5 linked regions of the Nothobranchius furzeri genome follow. The main gene of each other region encodes a partner of the protein of the gene in region 5 in a complex. Links are inferred from orthologs where the notes say so. Each region holds a gene or a part of one and is shown on either strand. Other genes may lie near its edges. The genes, in order: gigyf1a, eukaryotic translation initiation factor 4E-binding protein 1, tars1, gigyf2 and eif4e2.

The links.
Region 1: the proteins of eif4e2 (region 5) and gigyf1a are in contact, whole or in part, in a crystal structure (PDB 5NVK), measured with the Homo sapiens proteins. The link is inferred for Nothobranchius furzeri from reciprocal best matches to the Homo sapiens genes EIF4E2 and GIGYF1. Residues at the interface, in NP_004837.1 of Homo sapiens: His54, Pro55, Leu56, Gln57, Tyr64, Lys83, Gln84, Ile85, Gly86, Val91, Glu92, Trp95, Arg96, Phe97, Tyr98, Ser99, His100, Met101, Val102, Arg103, Leu107, Phe113, Ile137, Arg138, Leu139, Arg140, Gly142, Leu143, Ser145, Arg146; in NP_001362694.1 of Homo sapiens: Leu36, Ala37, Asp38, Tyr39, Arg40, Tyr41, Gly42, Arg43, Met46, Leu47, Leu49, Tyr50, Glu53, Asn54, Lys55, Val56, Pro57, Glu59, Leu60, Glu64, Phe65, Ala67, Val68, Leu69, Gln70, Asp71, Glu72, Pro73, Leu74, Gln75.
Region 2: the proteins of eif4e2 (region 5) and eukaryotic translation initiation factor 4E-binding protein 1 are in contact, whole or in part, in a crystal structure (PDB 5NVN), measured with the Homo sapiens proteins. The link is inferred for Nothobranchius furzeri from reciprocal best matches to the Homo sapiens genes EIF4E2 and EIF4EBP1. Residues at the interface, in NP_004837.1 of Homo sapiens: Glu53, His54, Pro55, Leu56, Gln57, Tyr58, Tyr64, Arg66, Lys83, Gln84, Ile85, Gly86, Val91, Glu92, Gln93, Trp95, Arg96, Phe97, Ser99, His100, Met101, Val102, Leu107, Phe113, Glu149, Asn150, Leu153, Gly157, Glu158, Gln159; in NP_004086.1 of Homo sapiens: Arg51, Ile52, Ile53, Tyr54, Asp55, Arg56, Phe58, Leu59, Met60, Cys62, Arg63, Ser65, Val67, Thr68, Lys69, Thr70, Pro71, Pro72, Asp74, Leu75, Pro76, Ile78, Pro79, Gly80, Val81, Thr82, Ser83.
Region 3: the proteins of eif4e2 (region 5) and tars1 are in contact, whole or in part, in a crystal structure (PDB 5XLN), measured with the Homo sapiens proteins. The link is inferred for Nothobranchius furzeri from reciprocal best matches to the Homo sapiens genes EIF4E2 and TARS1. Residues at the interface, in NP_004837.1 of Homo sapiens: His54, Pro55, Leu56, Gln57, Val91, Glu92, Phe94, Trp95, Arg96, Glu149, Asn150, Leu153, Leu156, Gly157, Glu158, Gln159, Met161, Val203; in NP_001245366.1 of Homo sapiens: Pro51, Glu52, Tyr53, Ile54, Tyr55, Thr56, Arg57, Met60, Tyr61, Ile63, Leu64, Glu67.
Region 4: the proteins of eif4e2 (region 5) and gigyf2 are in contact, whole or in part, in a crystal structure (PDB 5NVM), measured with the Homo sapiens proteins. The link is inferred for Nothobranchius furzeri from reciprocal best matches to the Homo sapiens genes EIF4E2 and GIGYF2. Residues at the interface, in NP_004837.1 of Homo sapiens: His54, Pro55, Leu56, Gln57, Tyr64, Arg66, Asn81, Lys83, Gln84, Ile85, Gly86, Thr87, Val91, Glu92, Phe94, Trp95, Arg96, Phe97, Ser99, His100, Met101, Val102, Leu107, Phe113, Glu149, Asn150, Leu153, Leu156, Gly157, Glu158; in NP_001096616.1 of Homo sapiens: Leu38, Ala39, Asp40, Tyr41, Arg42, Tyr43, Gly44, Arg45, Met48, Leu49, Leu51, Phe52, Leu53, Asn56, Lys57, Ile58, Pro59, Asp61, Leu62, Asp64, Glu66, Phe67, Pro69, Ile70, Leu71, Gln72.

What each region holds. Positions count from the first base shown.
Region 1 is NC_091742.1:83,853,517-83,857,612, forward strand, and holds the start of gigyf1a (GRB10-interacting GYF protein 1), read right to left. Parts: upstream 2,810-4,096; 5' UTR 2,535-2,809; intron 2,520-2,534; exon of another isoform or gene 1-2,519. UniProt on the Homo sapiens protein: May act cooperatively with GRB10 to regulate tyrosine kinase receptor signaling. May increase IGF1 receptor phosphorylation under IGF1 stimulation as well as phosphorylation of IRS1 and SHC1.
Region 2 is NC_091757.1:46,259,642-46,263,634, forward strand, and holds the start of eukaryotic translation initiation factor 4E-binding protein 1, read right to left. Parts: upstream 2,808-3,993; 5' UTR 2,486-2,807; coding exon 2,350-2,485; intron 1-2,349. UniProt on the Homo sapiens protein: Repressor of translation initiation that regulates EIF4E activity by preventing its assembly into the eIF4F complex: hypophosphorylated form competes with EIF4G1/EIF4G3 and strongly binds to EIF4E, leading to repress translation.
Region 3 is NC_091757.1:57,099,430-57,102,940, reverse strand, and holds part of tars1 (threonine--tRNA ligase 1, cytoplasmic), read right to left. Parts: intron 2,409-3,511; coding exon 2,285-2,408; intron 2,066-2,284; coding exon 1,941-2,065; intron 1,128-1,940; coding exon 1,010-1,127; intron 936-1,009; coding exon 871-935; intron 789-870; coding exon 710-788; intron 556-709; coding exon 409-555; intron 1-408. UniProt on the Homo sapiens protein: Catalyzes the attachment of threonine to tRNA(Thr) in a two-step reaction: threonine is first activated by ATP to form Thr-AMP and then transferred to the acceptor end of tRNA(Thr).
Region 4 is NC_091751.1:53,327,332-53,330,842, reverse strand, and holds part of gigyf2 (GRB10-interacting GYF protein 2), read right to left. Parts: intron 3,133-3,511; coding exon 3,009-3,132; intron 2,915-3,008; coding exon 2,874-2,914; intron 2,769-2,873; coding exon 2,733-2,768; intron 2,575-2,732; coding exon 2,398-2,574; intron 1,810-2,397; coding exon 1,598-1,809; intron 1,501-1,597; coding exon 1,353-1,500; intron 1-1,352. UniProt on the Homo sapiens protein: Key component of the 4EHP-GYF2 complex, a multiprotein complex that acts as a repressor of translation initiation. In the 4EHP-GYF2 complex, acts as a factor that bridges EIF4E2 to ZFP36/TTP, linking translation repression with mRNA decay.
Region 5 is NC_091751.1:56,212,940-56,217,170, reverse strand, and holds the start of eif4e2 (eukaryotic translation initiation factor 4E type 2), read left to right. Parts: upstream 1-1,425; 5' UTR 1,426-1,544; coding exon 1,545-1,564; intron 1,565-2,267; coding exon 2,268-2,379; intron 2,380-2,457; coding exon 2,458-2,592; intron 2,593-2,670; coding exon 2,671-2,775; intron 2,776-2,866; coding exon 2,867-3,019; intron 3,020-3,102; coding exon 3,103-3,239; coding exon of another isoform or gene 3,240-3,243; intron 3,244-4,231. UniProt on the Homo sapiens protein: Recognizes and binds the 7-methylguanosine-containing mRNA cap during an early step in the initiation. Acts as a repressor of translation initiation.

The sequences.
Region 1 (4,096 bases), on a different chromosome or scaffold from region 5:
CCTCACGCGCTTGTGGATATCATATATTCTATATGAAAACATGACTGTAATAATAAGTAAAGGTTATCAGCTGTTCAGTGTGCTCATAGGAAACGTGACAAAAGAACACAAAACACATTTCTCCTTATGGCCTATATAGTTGTCATCATCAACATAACATGATTTACATAATACATGTGAACAACTAACATTTCATGTTCTACCACCGGATGTTTGGATCAAAATGTGAACCAATCAGATCTTAGATCAGGTGAGAGCCAGGCGTTTCCCATCATCCTCTAGGTTTTGCAGCCGGTAGAGAGCAACTGCAGCGCCTTGCTCCAAAATCTGCGACCGCCTTGATCTCACGAGGTTATCGATGCCTACGTATGCATGACGTCAGAGCAAGTCAGGTCAATTCGGACACAAATCTAACCGGCATGCACCGCTCGCCGATCACTGCTGGTCTACTCTGCGCAGAACTGGCTCATCTCGAACACAGTCAATGGCTTGAATACAGCAAAGCGGCGTTGGTGATGTACTGCGTTGTATGCCAGAAGTATGCGACGACAAAATCGTGTTTTGTTGAGGGAACAAACAAATTCAAACTTGAATACGTTATTATGTTTGTGAATGTGTACAAAATAAAGGTTTGTTACATTTAAAACGGTTCAGTTGTTATTTTGACTCGTTTTGGCGGCTGACCAGTGGGGCCGGTAGATTCTTGGCAGGGCCGGTAAATATTCAGAGTTACCGGCCCGGCTGGCCGGTTGGTTTTGAAGTTAATGTCCACCCCTGCGGCTTCATTCAACCATTTCAAATCATAATTTCCAGCTAATTCTGACCTTAAAGCTGCTTTCCGGAGTTTTCCCCCTTTCAGAAATTATGTATGATTTGTCAGAAATCCGTGAAAGTGATTGTCTTATCATGTACTGTGATATAATGTAAGCAATACGTCCTTTAAATTTTTTGAGTTGATGAACTTTTCACGGACAATTACGTCTCTAAAATATAAATGTATGAGAACACAACATGACATGAGAATGATACTCGTAAAACAACGTGTTTAGCTCTGCTTGTCGGCTACAGAAACACATTTATAAACAGAAACGTGAAGCCGCCATCTTTAAAAAAAACAAAGAGGAACAGAGTTTTTGTGTGATGTGCTTGTCAGCCACTAGATGGTGCCATCGGATAAGAGAAATACTCCGGAAAGAAGCTTTAAATCCTACGAGACTAATACAAAAAGATTCAGAACTTGTTCTACCCTTATATTATTCCTAGTGTTTAATAGTGTTAATAAAGACAAACTGTCTTCTTTGGGACTTTTCCAAACAAAAATAATTCCCTCGTTACGTGGAAGTAGCAATTTTTTGTGATTTATTTATTATTTATTCAGTAAAAATACAAAATTAAGTTTTAAATATTGCTTATATATATGAAAGAAATCCTCTAAAAATAGTTTAAATAACCAAATACGGATTTAAAAGCTGGTTAATATTTACGTGACCAGAGTGACTTAAATTTGAAGGAGATCCACACCAGCTTTCTGCAACCAAATCTGTGAGGTGTCCTCATGTAACAACTTTGGATGTGATGTTATTTGTAATAAATGTGTGGGAAAGGTCAAAAGACCCAATACAGAGTACAAAATATGATAAAGAACATGATAGTAAAACAAGCTTAAAATGAATCAAACCCCATTAATACCAGACACATAAAAAAATAATTGTCCACTTGTGAAAATTGGTATTTGCTAAGTGCTTAACGGTAGCAAATTAAATAACAAATTATCATGATTTAAAGCAGAAACATTACAATAAAATCCAGCTTTTAAAGCTGCAAACCAAATTTTAAACACACAACCATAAAACCCATTCACCACATTGAGGTCAACTCATATCAGAGATAAAAAGTTTAACAATAAAGCTAAAGCAAGGTCATCAAGCAGAGTGAACACACTGCACATGTTATCTGCTAAAACCCTTTATATTCTTTAAATGAACCTCGGCTACAAGCAGCTTTCACCGAGAACAACCTAAAACTGAAAAACACTGAAAAGCTTAAGTGGAAGCTAACAAGCTACATTTGCGCTACTGTTGCTGTTATAAGCTAATAGCAGCAGATTTCTCCGTAGTAGGCGTACAGCTAACTGTTAGAGGCGTCTGTAAACATGATTCAGTTGCTCAACAGACACGGTTTACCACCTAAACTAGCACTCAGGTATGCGCTGGATCGCTAAGGCCTTGGCGTGATGGTTCAAGTGACACCAGATATGATGGCGGAGGGGGCGGATGGTTGGGAAGGAGACTCCCCGGCCTGCTCCACCGTTGAGCGGACTACCACCACCGCGGCTGTCCTCACTATGAAATACTTTAGTTTAATGCATTTGGAACAAGACGAGTAAATCCATAAATTGGTGTAGTTTTTAGTTGTAAAACGGTTATTTAACCGTTGTTTTTTTTTCACCGTGGACGAATCGAGCTAAACGAGCCGAGATTAGCATGTTAGCTCGTACGCTAGCCAGCTGCAAAGAGGAACCCTTGCTCGCTTACCTTGTGTTTATGTCCGCACGGCGTGCCTACAGCCAATATATGGTATGCATTGGTCTCTTTAAACACTGTAAACGTATTCATTCGACAGAATAGTACTTTCAGGAAAATCTGCGGTGTGGTTATTAGGTTTCCTCTCGCGCTCACTCTTCTCCTCCAACGGTCGCTGCTGCGTATCAATGTGTGTCTGCTGCTCCGAGTCGCTCCTTCTCTTCTTGTTGTTTGTGTTTCGGAAACATGGCCGTCCTTGTGATACCACGTGACCGCGCATTGCCAAGCGGGCAACCAATGCAGGAGCAGAGCAAACACACCCCTATTTTTACCAGCGAGGACTCTCCTGTTCCGTTTTAGCTCGACGTGGCTTAATTAGCCAGTTTAATGAGCGCGTGCAATAAAGTGGGGCCGCGTTGCTTTATAATAAACACGCTCCTGAGACAGTTTTGGAACACTGGAATAAACATAATTAACAAATGTATTTTTGTAATAACAAACTATTTTACCAAGAAGCGTCACGACTGTAATAAACAATATAATATTTTAATAATTTATGAGGTTTCTGCAAGTTTTACAGCTCACCGAACTGTGCATGTGCAGTGTGATCCACTCTTTGTACACAAGAGAGCGCAGTTTGGCAGTAAAATAATAATGCAAAAAGTAATGGTTTAAAATGAAGTAAAAGCATAATGCATTCAACCCTAATTTATTGTAAAATGTTGTGACTTTTATTTTCTAAAAGTGAATGTGAAAAAGAAAATGACTATTATAAGACCCTTGTGCAGCTCGAACCTTGTGCAGGATCCAATCGTTTGCATTTTTAATATCATGCTATACAGTCAAAAAAAGGTGATTTTTAAAAACTTATTTAAGAAAAAAAATTATGTCAGTGAAGTCCACAAGTAATAAGAACAAATACTGAAATTGAAGTATATAAACATTATGAACAGTTTTCATCCACATCACTGGAAATACCTAACATGTCCTGTGTTGCCCAGATGATTTAGACTTTGATCCCCAAAATTAAATGTTAGAGATTTAATTTTTAAAAATAAAACATAAATCTCAAGCATTTTTACTTTTTGTGAATGTTTACAGCCCTAATATCCTAACCCTAATTATGCAATTTCTTTAGATTTTACATCAATTTTGGTGAAAAATATGCATCAAGAAACTCTCTTTTCAGGATATTATCTTAAATGTAAAACCTCCTATTCTGTGACCCACAGTAGAGCCCTTATGCAAACCCTAGCAACCACTGGGAGATATATTAAGGTTTTAGAAGTTTTTCCATTACTATAACCAATCTAGGAGACGTGTGGCTGCACAAACTGTTGGATCAGATAAGTTCAGTAACCAGCCAATAGATCCACTCTGCTCCTCTGCTGCTTATACTGTCTGTGTCTGACTGCAGCTGCGTTTCACTAGATGGAGAGAAACACACATACAGGATAGGCTGTATAGAAAAACCTTTATTGTGTAATTGAGTTATTTTTTATTCATATATGACCTACATTTTCCAATGGACAGTCTTCTAGTTCTTCAGTAGCTCCAGCTTTAAGGATGCATAT
Region 2 (3,993 bases), on a different chromosome or scaffold from region 5:
TTATGTCTGTGTTATTAACGTAAATCTGAAATAAATAAATAACAGGTCTGTTTTAATTAGGGATGCACCGATACCGATACTGGCATCGGTACCGATACCAGTATCGGTATCAGTGAAAGTTAACCGATACCAGGAACCGATACCAATGCAGTTGCTTGAAAATGGCTTCACTGTAACTTGTCATTTCTGTTCACCTAATATTTTAGTTTTGTGATGATTTCCATTCATATATTTTACTTTTTATTTACCTCACAGTCTTTTCCTGTTGAAAGCAGAGAAGAAAATAAAATCTGTATTCCATATCATTGCATTTTTTTGTGTGGTGGAAGTATCGGTATCAGTAATCGGCAGCGGCAAGTACCCAGATCCAAGTATCGGTATCGTATCGGTTTGGAAAAAAGAGGTATCGGTGCATCCCTAGTTTTAATCACAATGTCAGTTAAACAATGAAGCCTCTTTGGCAAAGCAGTAACAGCTCTGACCTCATTAAACTCTTAAAATAAACAATCTGTCAGATTTAAAAAAAAATCTAGTTTTGTTGGATTTATTCAGGGGCTGATCTACTGGGGTGGCAACTGCCTCCCTAAAGGAAAGTTTTGCCACCTCAGAAGAAGGCAGCAATAATTCATGAAATAGTTGTGGCAAATCAGACATTATGAATGTGAAAGTAGCATGTCCGATTACACCGATCATGACACAAGCTGATAAAATAATGACCTGAAATAAAAAAAACATATATGGTTATGTAAATACTGATGAATTAACAGGGAAAGAAATGTGTTTGAGTGAATAATAAAACTAAAGTTTAGTACCTTGTTGCAGTGAAACATTGTGTTGGTGGTGGCACAAAATGCCAGCCCACTCCAGAGTGGCTGTGGCTACATCGTAGCTTACCATCCCCGGCAGTGTGAACGTGAGAGTGTGAACAATATAACCTTCTGAGTGGCCTAGTGGTAAGAGTGTCCGCACTGGAACTGGGAGATCGTGGTTCATCGGGTTATCCCAAAGACTTTAACTCATTCACTGCCAGCCATTTCCTGATCGCTGAAGACCTTCACTGCCAGCATTTCTCGCCATTTTTACTGTTTTTTAAGAGTCACAGAACGTTGCGCGCTAGGATGATGTCGACGCCAAAACAACCAAAACAAAGAGGAGACTCACCTCTTAGATCAGGAAGAATCCGCGTGTTTCAAGCGTTATCCATTCTTTCATAATTCGTTGTCGAATTGTGATCGGCAGACGCTTTTCCGGTTCGCGCCTCATGTTTTTTTTTTTAAAGGAACAACCCAAACCGATCTCCTAACACATGGATTTTCTGCTTCCTGGTCATGTGACCTGTGACGTATGCGGATGAAGATCAGCTTCAGAGCTGAGACGTTTGCTTCTCGGCGCGGGGACTCGTTCCAATGCCCACACAGTAAAAAAATTCCAATGACGACTATTGGCAGTGAATGAGTTAAAAATGGGACCCAATGCCTCCCTGCTAGACACTCATCTTTAACCACCAAATAGTTCCCGAGTGCAGCCACTGCTACAGCTCACCGTTCCCCATGAGGATGGGTCAAATACGGAGATGTCATTTCACCAGCGTGTGATGATGACTAATGGGACTTTAATGGAATGCGCTTTGAGTTCCAAGAAAAGCACTGTATAAATCCAATCCATTATTGTTATTATTATTTCTTTCCATATAGTGCATCTATGCTGACCTTGGTACAGCTCAGTGCATAGGAATTCACAGACACATTTTTAATGGATAGTTTAGTTCAAAAGCTTTTGTGTGCCCAAAGAGTATAGTAATTTATGCTCCATTTTACCATCCTCAAAATTTTGCCCCCTTCTGCCACCCCGTACATGTTTTTCTAGGCCCACCACTGGATTTTTTTCTTTTGCTGCATCTGATCCCAAATTCCAGTCCAGTAGGTGGTCGTAATGGGCTTTTAAACTGGTTAGGTCACCGCCAATAAACTCAAGAGCACCGATTTGATCACGTGACTCAGATCCCAGTGACAAGATGTACAGAAGTCAAAGTAAAACCCTAAAAACGATTTTCACTTAATTGAAAATTAGTTATTGTGTTGCAAAATTACATTTACAAAACGACATTGGTCATATGCCTCAAAGCCACTTTTTAGTTTTTCACTATTCTGTTTTTTCAATGATCGCTAGTTAGCGTTAGCGGTTAGCTTCAGTATAGCTAGCTATCAGATGACAGCAGCCAAGCCGACCTCATGGAGTTAGCATGAACACACGCAACAACGCTGCTGTTAAATGGATTCAGGTCTCGTGCCACTGACCTTTTGACCAAGCACACAAACGTTAATGTGGAGTTAAAAACACACAACGTACCGCCCGGTGTGGTGCTAAAAAGGGTCCCCCCGGGAGTAGTGGAGTAGTCGTGTGGCATGTGGTCCGCTTCGTTGACGGCCACTGTCCTGGTGGACGGGATGGCCTTGGCATTTGTCTTCTGAAAGTCTGTGGACATCTTCTCTCAACTAAAAAATTAAAAGTAACTAACTGGATGACATGAAACAAGAAGAACGTCTGGGTTTGACAGAACAAAGCCAGAGGAGTGTTAGATTTGGCTCAGCAGCAGAACGGTCGCCTTCTGATGAATAAAAATAAATATCTAGATTTCATGAGTGCAAACTATGGCGATTAAAGTTAGCCACATTAACACACGCGCTCTCACTCAAAACGGGTCGAGGATGTTTGGTGAAAAAGGACCTCAGCAGCACCCGTTTCTCTGTTTCCACATGCACACAAAACAACACACAGACATACGCAGGCAGACCATCAAGGCATACAGACAGGCTGCTGCAGCCCTGTAGGGAGAACGCTGTTCGGTGCAAACTAAACGAATTTATTCCGCCATCTACTGGTGCATACTAGGCTACAGAGATTAAAATAATAATAATAATTATTATTATTATTTTTAAAAAACTATGTATTTATTTTCACCTCATTCTATTTGAAAATTTTCTTAAATACAAAATCTGCAGACACTGTTCCAGATTTTCACCTTTTAAGGAACGTTATATTGCGTTATTATGCTTTCAACAAGAAGATTGCCTTATTCTAGTCCGCCTCCGAAATGATTTTAAATCATGTCAAGTTGACAGATGATTTATTTAAAAGGAGCAAAATCAGTAAGTAAATCCTGCTGTCATCTTCTGCTCAAATATAATTATTGAATTTATTCAGGTGTGTGTGTGTGTGTGTGTTTCTTCGGCATTTTAATGTATTTTCAATACAATTTGCTTTTAAAAGCCCTTACATAATTGTTTTATTTATTCTGACCACATTCCTAGCTCTGAGATGTTAGATCTATAACTTCACAAGTTTTAATAACACAAAGAGAAGCTTTTAAATCAGATTCAGATTTCATGAATTTCTTTGAATTCATGTTTCTTTTTTGCAGCACGTCTATAACAGACTTCCCCCAAAGCTTGATGCATCTCCTGGCAGGATGGTTAAACGAGCGAAGATCTACTCACTGTGTCAGTCAGGAAAAAACACACTTCAAAGTCAAGAAACGTCATTTAAAGACATGAAAAAAATTACACGCAATACGCAAAGATGTTTCATTTCTTTATTAATTTTTGTAAATGTTGAGCTGGTGTACAGAGTAAATTGTCAACAGATGCCCTCAGATTTTGATTGGATTAAAAGGTTTTCACATGTATATTTTATGTTTGACTCTCCATGACAATAAAAAAGCAAACAAAATAAGTTAAAACACCCACAAAACCCCTATTTATCCCCAGGTTGCAGGCATTACCCAAACTTAAAAGTCTCTTAGTAGCTACAGCTGTATGATGCAAAAAGGACATCCATAACATAACAGGAATCCCAGTTGACAGGGGTGCATAGCATTCTAAGTAAATATATATATTTGTATGTTTCATATATATAGCCATTTTTATATTAAAAACTTTTTGTGCATGTGCGCAGTTGCATTCCTTAGTATCGAGTAATATGCTATTAATAATG
Region 3 (3,511 bases), on a different chromosome or scaffold from region 5:
TTGAATTACTTCTTTAAAAGCCACGTATTGATTTGAGCTACTTAATATGTGCGTTAATCAGCTACAAACCGTTTACTTTCACTTAACAAACCATTATGAATGGCTTATTATGATGAAACTCTTAATTTATGGCCTGTTAATGTTAGAATTACAGCATTAGTAATAAGCACCTAATAATAGCTTAATAATGACCAATTCTAACTTAGTAGTCCACTAATATGCATATTAATTGGCAGCTAATTAATGGTTAATTTGTGTTGCCTAAACTAAAGTATTACCCATAATGCATTTATTCTGCAAGTATTAAAAATGCACCTTAGCTCAGAAAACACCAACATACCATAAATGACTCACAGGTGCAAACCCTGCGGGTGGCTGCTTTAAACCTGTCTACATCTCAGCTCCTACCCGGCCCAGTTTGCGGTGATCTCTGTTCTTGGCCTCCTCCTGAAACTTCTCCCACTCTTTGAGCATTTTAGGGTCGGGGAAGGAGATGCCGTAGATCCTCTGGAGGGTTTCCATGTCTGCCTTTCCCTCCCAGTAGGTCGACGAGTTCTAGCGCAGCGCAGAGGAAAAACAACTTTTCATTGTTCTTTAAAGTCCATCAAATCCTCTGAGATTAGAACACAAGAGTGAATCTGCTGCCTGCAAACGTGGGAACAAACTGAGTGCGTGCAGCAACAACGTGCACAGCGAAGCGCACGCTAACCTTGTGGATTTTAAGTGACTTGATCTTTCCGGTGTGTCTCACATGAGGCCCCCGGCACAAATCAATTAAGGGACCGCATCTGAAAAGACAAAATGTCTGAGAGTTTGTTGGATGAAGATGAAACAAGCGAGCAGCTGTTGTTTTTCCTGCCTCGGACTCACCTGTAAACCGTGGTCGTCGGGGTGGTGACTTTCTCCTTCAGAATGCGGCACTTAAACTTGTTGTACTGAAACGGGTAAATCAATCATTACATTTTACTGCGATTATCTTTAGTTATCACTCATACGTGTTTAATAATACCTTGAACATCTCCAGCAGAGTTTCCTTCTTTATTTCCAGCCTTTCGAACGGCTGCTTCTCTTTGATGATTTTTTTGCACAAGTTCTCCAGATAGGGAAAGTCGTTGCTCGATACGCCGCTGTCCCACACAAGAAGAGGTAATAATAATAGTAACGGTACGTGCAGCATAGCTTTTTCAGTTAAAAACATTTTCTCCACCTCTTAGTAAGTTCTGCCTCCGTCTCCAAAGAGCTTCACGCCCATGACCTTTAACTTAATCGCCAAGAAAGGTCAGACAGTTGAAGTCGTTGGCTTTAGGGCTTAAGCAATGCCAAAATATCCTTGCTACAACAGTCCCTAGGAACGCCATTAGCATAAAACAACTTCATTATGTAGGCTGTAGAATAAAAGAGACAGCACTGCCCAAGCTCTCAAAGCTGGAACAAAGGTGTGAAAAAAAATCCAAGGAAACATTCGTTACCAGTCGGGATGTAAGAAAATACGCTGAAATATCACAATATCTCCTATTATGATACGGATTTGATATTTAAAAGCAGTGTGTCGATTTGGAGAATTTAAATGCAAACATATACGTATTTCTTTTTGTGAGGTGTAATTCAACGTCTCACTGCTAGGTGGCAGCAGTTTTTACCACCTTCATTCTGACAGGACAAGATCTGGCGATATCCTCTCCCCTGGTTTGTGATTTATGTCGCATCGCCAGATCTTTGCCAATAAACACCCTGTGTCACCAATATACCATAAAAAATGAACATTTTAAGTCCACACCTGTGAGAAGATCCACCTGGAGGCCAATGGTTTTATAACGTTCGGTTATTTTTTAGTTCATATTATGGAGCAATGTAAAAGAACCTGTTAGACGCCTGTTACGCCCAAAAGCACGCCCAAGGAATGAAAACGTGTGGATCAACCCACAGTCTTTGAAACTCACTCATTGTTTTCTAGAAACATGTCGTAGTAGAAGCCACTCTCGATTGGAGGACCGTAGCACAGGCAGCCTCCGTACACCTTCTCCATCGCTTCACCAAGAATATGAGCACTGGAGTGCCAGTAAACCTAAAGAAAACACAAACGCATCATTAAGTCGAACAATCTAGGATTTTCTTAGCATTGGTGCTTCTAATTAATAACCCAACAATGGTTTAAGCCTAATGTTGTATTACATCAATGTTTTATTCATTTGATGAAAAACAAAAAGGCGGTATGGTTTTGATCCTCATTCACCCAACAATATTTCCTAAACCTAAAGTGTGATAAAAAACGAGATGAACTTACAGCTTGAGCCTCCTCATCATCAAACTTGAGCAACTGAAGGCTACAGTCGTCTTCCAAAGGTCTGTCCAGGTCCCACACACTGTTGTTTACTTTGGCAATCACCGTGTTGTCAGCAAGGCCTTGACTGCACAAGAAATACGACAAACTACACATCAGAAAAATATCACACCTCTCCTTACGTGTCTTAAACACTGGAACACCACAGGGCTGTGTGTTCAGTCCCCAACTGTACTTCCTGTTCACCCATGACTGTGTTGCTAGTCATGCTACGAATTCAATCATCCAATATGCAGATGACACATCCATCTTAGGCCCCATCTTGTACAATAATGAGTCAACCTATAAAGACGAGGTGAAGGCCCTGAGTAACTGATGACTGGACAACAACTTAAATCTCAATGTCGGATAAGAGATAATTGTGAACTGGTGGAGAACACCAGACCATTTGCATCACTGGGGCGAAGTCGAAAGGGTCAGACGTCCTAAGAAATTCAGACTAAACATGACTGAGGACCTCATGTGGACCCGACCACATAAACAAGATGAAGAAAGTGCATCAGCCACACAACTTACTTCCTTTTTTAATAATTATCTTACTTAGAAACACATTTCATTGTAATTTTGACTTAGTTAACTTATTTATAACAAATACTTAAAGTCAGTATTAGAAGATCACCAATAAACCATTTTAACATCAGCTAAAATGGCTGCTCCACTTACTATTGGATGTATCAGAGATACGGGTTCATGTTTATATTTACACACTAATGAATAGACTAAGAAACTTTCAAGCCGATTAGAAAATTTAGACCCATTTAACTTAATAACTTGTTTGCGTTATGATAAAGAAATGTGGTCAGGATGGTAGACTGAGGGATGTTTTCATTGGCCAGGTTTATGGGCTGCTTAAGCTGAACATTTTCAGCATGATTCCAGAAATAAAACTCAGAATTTATCATGATTTTATAAACACGCCAGACCCCAAAAAATCTTATGTGACTGACATTAATAATAAATGCTCTATTGACAATTCTCTCCCATAATATCAGAGTAACACGAACAATACTAATGCAATGCTTCACCAAGATTTAATAAACTAATGAGATTTTTTTTTGTCTTGTGCATGACGATTTAATAAATTATTTCCTTTAATGAACAGTCAAAGGTTGGCGGGTGACATTTGCAGTCACTGGTTTTAATAACACTGACGCTGTGAACCCTTTAGGA
Region 4 (3,511 bases), about 2.9 Mb from region 5:
GACTTTAAGTATCTGCTGATAACAGAGACCTGATCCAACACTTTTCAGCAAAGCATTAAAGTAAGAAGACAGAAGGATTCTCAGATACTCCTGTTTGGGGACGGAGGAGTCAGCCGGAGGAGAAAGAAGCTTCAAACAAAGTCTTATTTCCTGATATTCGGACATCTCGCCTCTGATTGGATAACAGCAACACGACTCCACCACTGACTCAGTTTGCTCTGCAACACCGATATTTTATCTCCACAAATAACACAAGGAGTTCTGTCGTGTGGTGGAGTTGCTAATGCTAACAGTTAGCTTCTGCTAGTCGAGATGTTCTCTGCCGTTTCCTGGACGCAACATCAACAGCCTTCCCGTCACGAGCCAAATGGGTATGAATGTGTGTGTGAATCACTGATTGTGTTGTAAAGCGCCTTGGGGGGCTCTAGAAGGAGCTACGTCAAATACAGGCCAAATGGATGAGTCCGTGAATGTTAACAGACATTGTGTCGTACATCTGCACCGAGAACTTTTCCAGGCTATTTTCACGTGATTGGATCATCTCTCATTTCACCACTTTTACACAAAAACACATTGTTTATGTTTATTACCAGGGTTTCAAAACACATCAAGGCTGTTTTAAAAACAATTATTTCCTTTTTAGCTATTAACATAAACCTAAATGAAAAAATTGATTCTACCCAACAGAGAAAAAAGTATTTATAGCGACTTTCCAACCAACAAAAAAGATGACTAAACTCTACTATGTTGCCTTCATAACAGCTTATTGTTTGTGTTCACTTGGCCTTTACTGACACTCCCTCATTCCTCTCTTGCCCCTTTGGCTCTCTGAGCTACCGGCAATTTTTATTTGCAAGCACAAACTATCAAACAACGCCTGAGCGCAGAGATTATGATGGGATTAAAATTTGTCGTCAGCAGGTAATCTCATCGTTTCAAATAGGCCGTTTTAAATGTTAACATCCAAGCAGCTTTTGAGGTAAAAACACAGAAAATGTGTCACCTTCTTTATGTGATGCAACAACCAGGGTAAAAAACTTGTTTCCCAACTTAAACAGAAACACCATGAAGGTCAAAAAGTGACTCAAATTACTCAGGAGACGCAGCGGTGAATCAGACTAGCTTAGATGATTTTTCATATAGATTATACATTTATTCTGCAACAATTCCTGTTAAAATAAAGTGTGAATGATCAGGAACATGTTTTACTATTAAACTTGTCTATTGTATCTTTTTACTTCCTTGGAATTATTTTGAAAACTGGGTTTAGTTTGAATTTGACCTTTAAATGATCTAATACCAACATATTTATCAATAAGAGAATCAAAAGTCAGATTATCAACACTACTGACCTTTTCTGTCTGCTTCCCTTTTGGCTTCTTTTTCTGATTCTTTGGTTTCCCTGGTCGGGGTATCCAGCTCCTCCAGGCCTTCGTCACACTCCTCCAAGGGTCTGAAGTCGAGCTCTGCTTCTTCTGGAATCGGTTCCTTTGAGGCTTTCTGATTACAAAATGACAATGTGGGGGGGGGGGGGGGACTATTGTCATAAACTTCTCAGTAATCTTTAAATAATCATTTGAGGAAAGTATCTGATTACCTTATGAGAGAGAAAGGCTCCAGAAGAGTCAAATGTGCCTGCCTCTTCATCTGCATCCTCTAGACACCACTCGGGTAAGCTGTCCCTCTCGTCATCCAAGCTGCCGCTGCCAGACCTCTGCCTTCTGTAGCCGCGCTCGTCTTCTCTTGCATCAAACGGAAAATGTCGACGCTGCTCCGGAAGTTCCCGCCAGCCTGCTGACCGAGGCCCATCTGGGGAAAAATGCCACATAAAAGGAAAACTAAAACAAAATCCCACATGTTCACTCCAGACAACGGGAGAAATAACACACATGTAAACACAATCATCTGAATGTTTGTTCTGCATTTTGCATGAATGTAAATCTTGTTGCAGTGCGTTCTGTTCCAGGAAAAGCTGCTGTAATCCAGGCACATAAATCTAAGGCAAAAGCCTCCATTAGATTCCGTTAGCTCAGTTAGCTCTTAGCTTCATCAGCTCAGAGTTTGTTGGGTGTCAACCACCTGCCCCCACCCCCACAGCCTCGACCCTAGCTCCATTATTATATTACCCTGGAGCGATGAGACACGTGATGCAGCCAAGATGGCGGTTGTGGGAACTGCCCACTGGGCTTTAATTCAGCTCTTCATAAAGCTACGAGTGACGGCGGAGGACTGGTCTATCTAACATTTAGTCTTTGGGCTGAACAAAAAAGCACCTTTAGGCCAAACGGGAAGCACGACAAAGACAAGAGATAACACACCCTTTCACTTATCAAAACTTATTATTTCGACAAGATGAATGTATGGGTAATGCTTTTGTCTTTCATTTTTAGCGCCCACCTGGGCTCGGGGGGCACCACCGGTCGTTCTCCCATTGAGAACCCAGCAGGCGCCAGCCCCCCTCATCACCCTCACCGTTCTGATCGTCTCGAGTAGTACGCCAGTTTTCACTCTCTGAACGCGTAAAGTCGTGCTTCCTTGGGAGTCCTGTCCCTCCGTCCTCATATGGGCCTCGAACTGTAAAAACACCACATTAGAACACCAGGTGATGGAGTGGGGGGTGCCGTTAGGATGAGAAACCCCAGGGAATTAACATTTTAACATCTATATGATGTAAATGATGGCATGATTTGGCTAAGAACCCAGAACTTTCAGAGGAATGCTTTTTAACTCACTGTGATTGATCTGAAAATGCCCCGGAGCAACATCAGCTACAACGACAGAGAAGAGCAAACAGGTGAGCTGGCCAACTTGCCCAAAAAAATGTTTGAGTATTGATTTTTTTTTCTGTTTTCACAACAAAATGTGACACCAACCTGGGTCCTTTCGACCTGGCTTTTCAAATCGTCGGTCCCCCCTAATAAATGGGGAAAAAAAAGAAACGTTTAGTCTTGACTAAAAATATATAGAAGAGATATGTGCAATATCAGGAAAAGATCTGGATTTATCACATTTTTTCATTCCAATACCGTTCCTCCCAGCTTTGAGAACGGTGCATTTCCCTTCCTCCGCGACCAAAACCTTCAACGTCATCAAAACTTCTTTGGTAAAACCCTCCGTCTCCTCTTCCCCGCCCTGAAATCAAAAGATGAAATACATCAAATGATAAAATTCAAAAGTTTGGATAAAAGCTGAATCCTGATACTGTACCAGCCTAATCCTTATTTATTTTGAATAAAAAAAGAGCTGAATCATCCTTCGACGAAGGATGATTCACGAAGTTCGTGAAGGTGCAATGCAACTGAGGGGACCCACCGAGCCACCATGCATATAAAACGGTGCAAAATATATGAAAGGTGCATAAAAAAAATGCACACAGTCTGTTTATAAATGAAATGGAATTTTAAGCTGTTAAAAACAATAGTCGTCTCTTATGGCACACGCCTTCCTCTGGTGCTGATATGGTTTGGAAAAATGTTGACAAAAATTGTTTGTGCTCTACGTTTTGCTGTAA
Region 5 (4,231 bases):
TCTGTGGGCTGAGCTGCTAATGAAGTATGACAGGACCGACTGGTGTAAACAAACAGCGGCCACTGAAGAATACCGCCACTGCTCTTTCTCATTCACTCACTGGTGCGACTGCCGGCCCAGAACAAAGAGTCCTCTCATGAAGGTCCTCACAGAAACACAGGGAGCAAGGGGTGAGGGTATGGTCTGCAACTGCGGAGCCAACCAAACCACGCCATGCCATACCATCCTAGAGCATCCTGTTCACCACCACACCATCCCCCCACCCACACATACATAATGCGTCTTATGAAGTTTGCAGTGTTGTTTCTAGACACAAGCCGGTATTTTGGTTATTTACCCACAAATCGGCTCGCATCTATAACAAAAACTGATCCAACTTGCATCAATAGAAGTCCACTTTGTTCCCATCTCACCCTCCACCTCCTCTGTGGTCCCCCAGACTTTGTCCAGAGCTCTGCTTGGACCTGAACAGAGCCACGGTTTGAAGTCGCCGCAAGAACAGAGGGCAAGCGAAGGGATGAAACAAGTACTGCGGCACATCAGAGGATGTGAGTTCAAACAAAGAGGCCGTCGGTTCTCTGTGTTGCGGCTGCACATGTGCTGTTGTGTGTATGTGGGTGTCTGCTCGTAGCCGTCCATATCCGTGAGCTGAAGTCACCAGGTTCCTAGTCACTCAAGCCGGGAGGAGCAGATTTTGACAAAGCTGTAAAAAAGTGATCCGAGTGGTACTTTTTCTTATTTATTATGCTTGAAAATATCAACATGTGGTGAATAAAATGTTCAAACGTAACTTGGATTTGATGTTGTGTTTCTGCACCAGGGTCACAGCTGTGCAAACGTTTTCAGCTACAACTGTCTTACACTTCAGAGGAGCCAGGTGTTTTGTAAAGTTATACATCTGATTAGTTATTTTTAAACTTTGGCTGAATTTTCACTCACTTTTAGTTTACTCTGCATATTGTGCTTCTTCCTGAAAAACAGGAAAATGGTAATGAAAAAGACTAATGATCACATTTAAGAAGTTACTTAAATAGAACATGTAATATATTTTTTCAAGGATGTAAAAGTTGCAAAGCTCTGTTACAGAAGGACATGAGAGATGGATCATCTATGACAATTTTACATAATCTGTCAATTCTGTTCATGCTAAAAGTCATTTTATGTGTGAACTGTTTTGGGGAGATATTTTTATAGTTTTACCTAAATAAATAGGATTACACGAACGTCATATGACTTGTTGCAATTGAGACTCATTTACTGGTTCATCCCTTGAGTTTGGAAATATTTAATTACTGAATAGTTCAGTGATGAGTGCCAAGGTCCAAGAACACACTTTAGGAAAACCGACTAATCTCATTCAAGCCACTTAAAATATAACTTTTGGACAACACTACATTTGACAGCAGCGCGTGCCACCTGCTGACTTCTTTTCCGATTCCGACTCATCACTGCGTGCGCGTTCATGTGTGTAAGATGTGCGTCGCCGTTCCTGCGGAACTCAGGAGGCAGAATTTGGACTCCGACAGACTCCTGACTAAAAAATAATGAACAACAAATTTGACGCGTGAGTTAAGGCTTTATATTTGATTATGTGGCATCGCACGACCTTCCCGTTGTTTTAAACAACTCAGAGAAAGCTAGAACGTTAATGAAAGCTGAATTGTGCGTTAAATGAGAGGTGTGTCAGGTTTATAGCATGGTAGTTCGATATGCCGTTGGCTGAGGTGGACAACTTACGTTCACTTTAGCGAGTGGATTTTTCATAAAATATAGTGATATTTTAAATAAGTAAAGGTTTTGATACAAATAATTGTCTTGTGAGTGTGTGTGCTTTTAGCTTAGCATGTCTGAAAGCGGGTAGGCCGCTAATCCCCGGTGTGTGAGTAGTTGGGACGCCGGAGGAGGTGCACACAGAATCGACTAGAACCAGATTCCCACGGCCTTCATCACGAGCACAGACGGGAGCAAATTCTGACTTTTTACTGCTAAAAGTGATGATACCGGTGCTGTTTTTGTGTGATTCTTAATTGGGGTTAATTTAAAATAAATAAATAAAATTTCAAGATTTAAGACGTAAAGTTTTTTAAATAGCGTTGTTTTGACGTGGGTCTTTGAGGCCAGCTGGTTAGTTTTGATCCTTTTTTTTTTTTTTTACATATTTAGATATTATCATTTATCATGATAATCTAGAGTTAACTGCACTTGGCTTTACATTAAAGTGTCTTCTGACAGACGTATGAATATCTGATGGTTTGTGTCTAATCCAGGCTGAAAGACGATGACAGTGGAGATCATGAGCAGGATCAGGGATCACCGAAAGACAGCGAAAAGGAAAAGATCGAAGACGATGACAAGGAGCAAATTATTATCAAGAAAAAAGTATGGCTGATTACAGAGCATTGTTTCTACTGTAGATAAATATGCTCCTGTATTTACATTTGTCCATGTCCTTTACAGATGGTGGTTCCAGGGGCAGGAGAGCACCCTCTTCAGTACAACTACACCTTCTGGTACTCCAGGCGGACCCCAGGCAGACCAGCTAGCACCCAGAGCTATGAGCAGAACATCAAACAGATTGGCAGCTTTGCCTCGGTAAAGGACTTTTGTTTATACTTCAGCTTCAGCTGTTTCATGTTCACATATTTAATTTTGTGGCTTATTCTTGTCAAGGTGGAGCAGTTCTGGCGTTTCTACAGTCACATGATCAGGCCTGGTGATCTGACAGGTCATAGTGACTTCCACCTCTTCAAAGAAGGCATTAAACCCATGTGGGAAGTAGGTGTCTGTCGCAGTAATTGTATACTTTAGTAGAACGTTTTTTGTTTTCTGTGTACTAAGGCGTATTTGAAACCCCTTGCATGTTTAGGATGATGCCAATAAAATGGGTGGAAAGTGGATCATTCGTTTAAGGAAAGGCCTCGCGTCCCGATGTTGGGAGAACCTGATTCTGGCCATGCTGGGGGAGCAGTTCATGGTAGGGGAGGAGATCTGTGGGGCGGTGGTGTCGGTACGATTCCAGGTAAATCAAATAACACAATGTTGTATGTAACTGCTGGATCCCATTGCACTGAAACGTCTTTTTATGTACTTCATTTTATTCAGGAGGACATCATTTCTATCTGGAACAAAACAGCTAGTGACCAAGCGACCACAGCCCGCATCAGAGACACCCTACGTAGAGTCCTCAACCTGCCTCCCAACACCATCATGGAGTACAAGACTCACACAGACAGCATTAAGTATGTAGGTGTAGCAATTAAAACATTCTAATTACGACCAATAAGATGTGATGATTCCATATAAAAATGAAATATCAATCTGATTGATCTTTGAATATTTAATCAGAAGATTCTAGGGTCCTTTGCCTCTTTAGGGACCATGATCACACTTCGTATCAATTCAGACAGAGTCGGGTATATAGTTTATAAAATTAATTTAATTATTTTTCCTAAACTAACAATTTATACATGACAAGATATGAATAATGAGATGTGTTGTGATGGAAGCTAGATGTTGTAGCAACCATTCTTTGTATCTGAGAGAAATTGCAAAATCTGGATGTAAAATAATTAGTTGTTTGGTTATAACTAGAGTTCAATTCAATTCAAAAATACTTTATTATTCCCAGAGGGAAATTGATTTCTGTAGTAGCTCAGAATAATAATAATAATCAAGTCATCAAAGAGTATATCACAATGGCTGTTGGCAGGAAGGATCTCCAGTAGCGGTCAGTATTGCAGCGAAGCTGAAGAAGCCTCTGACTGAAGACACCCTTCCGTTGTCTGACAGTCTTGTGAAGAGAATGCTCAGGGTTGTCCATAATTTTCTTGATTCTCTGGAGAATCCTTCTTTGCATTATCTCCTCCAGCGGTTCCACAGTCATCGCCAGAACAGAACCAGCCTTTTTTATTAGGCTGTTGAGCCTTTTCAGGTCCCTGCTTCTGATGCTACTACCCCAACAGATGATGGCTGAAGAGATTACACTCTCAACAACAGACTTGTAGAAGATCTGTAGCATCTTGCTACAGACATTGAAGCATCCTCAAGAAGTGCAGTCTGCTGTGTCCCTTCTTGTAAACAGCTTGGTTGTTCTTTCTCCAGTCCAGTCTGTTGTCCAGGTGAACTCCAAGGTATTTGTGTTCCTCAACTACCTCCACTTCTTCTCCCATGATGGAAACAGTGTTTGACTCCACCCTGTTTCTTCTGAAGTCTAAAATCATCTCCTTTGTTT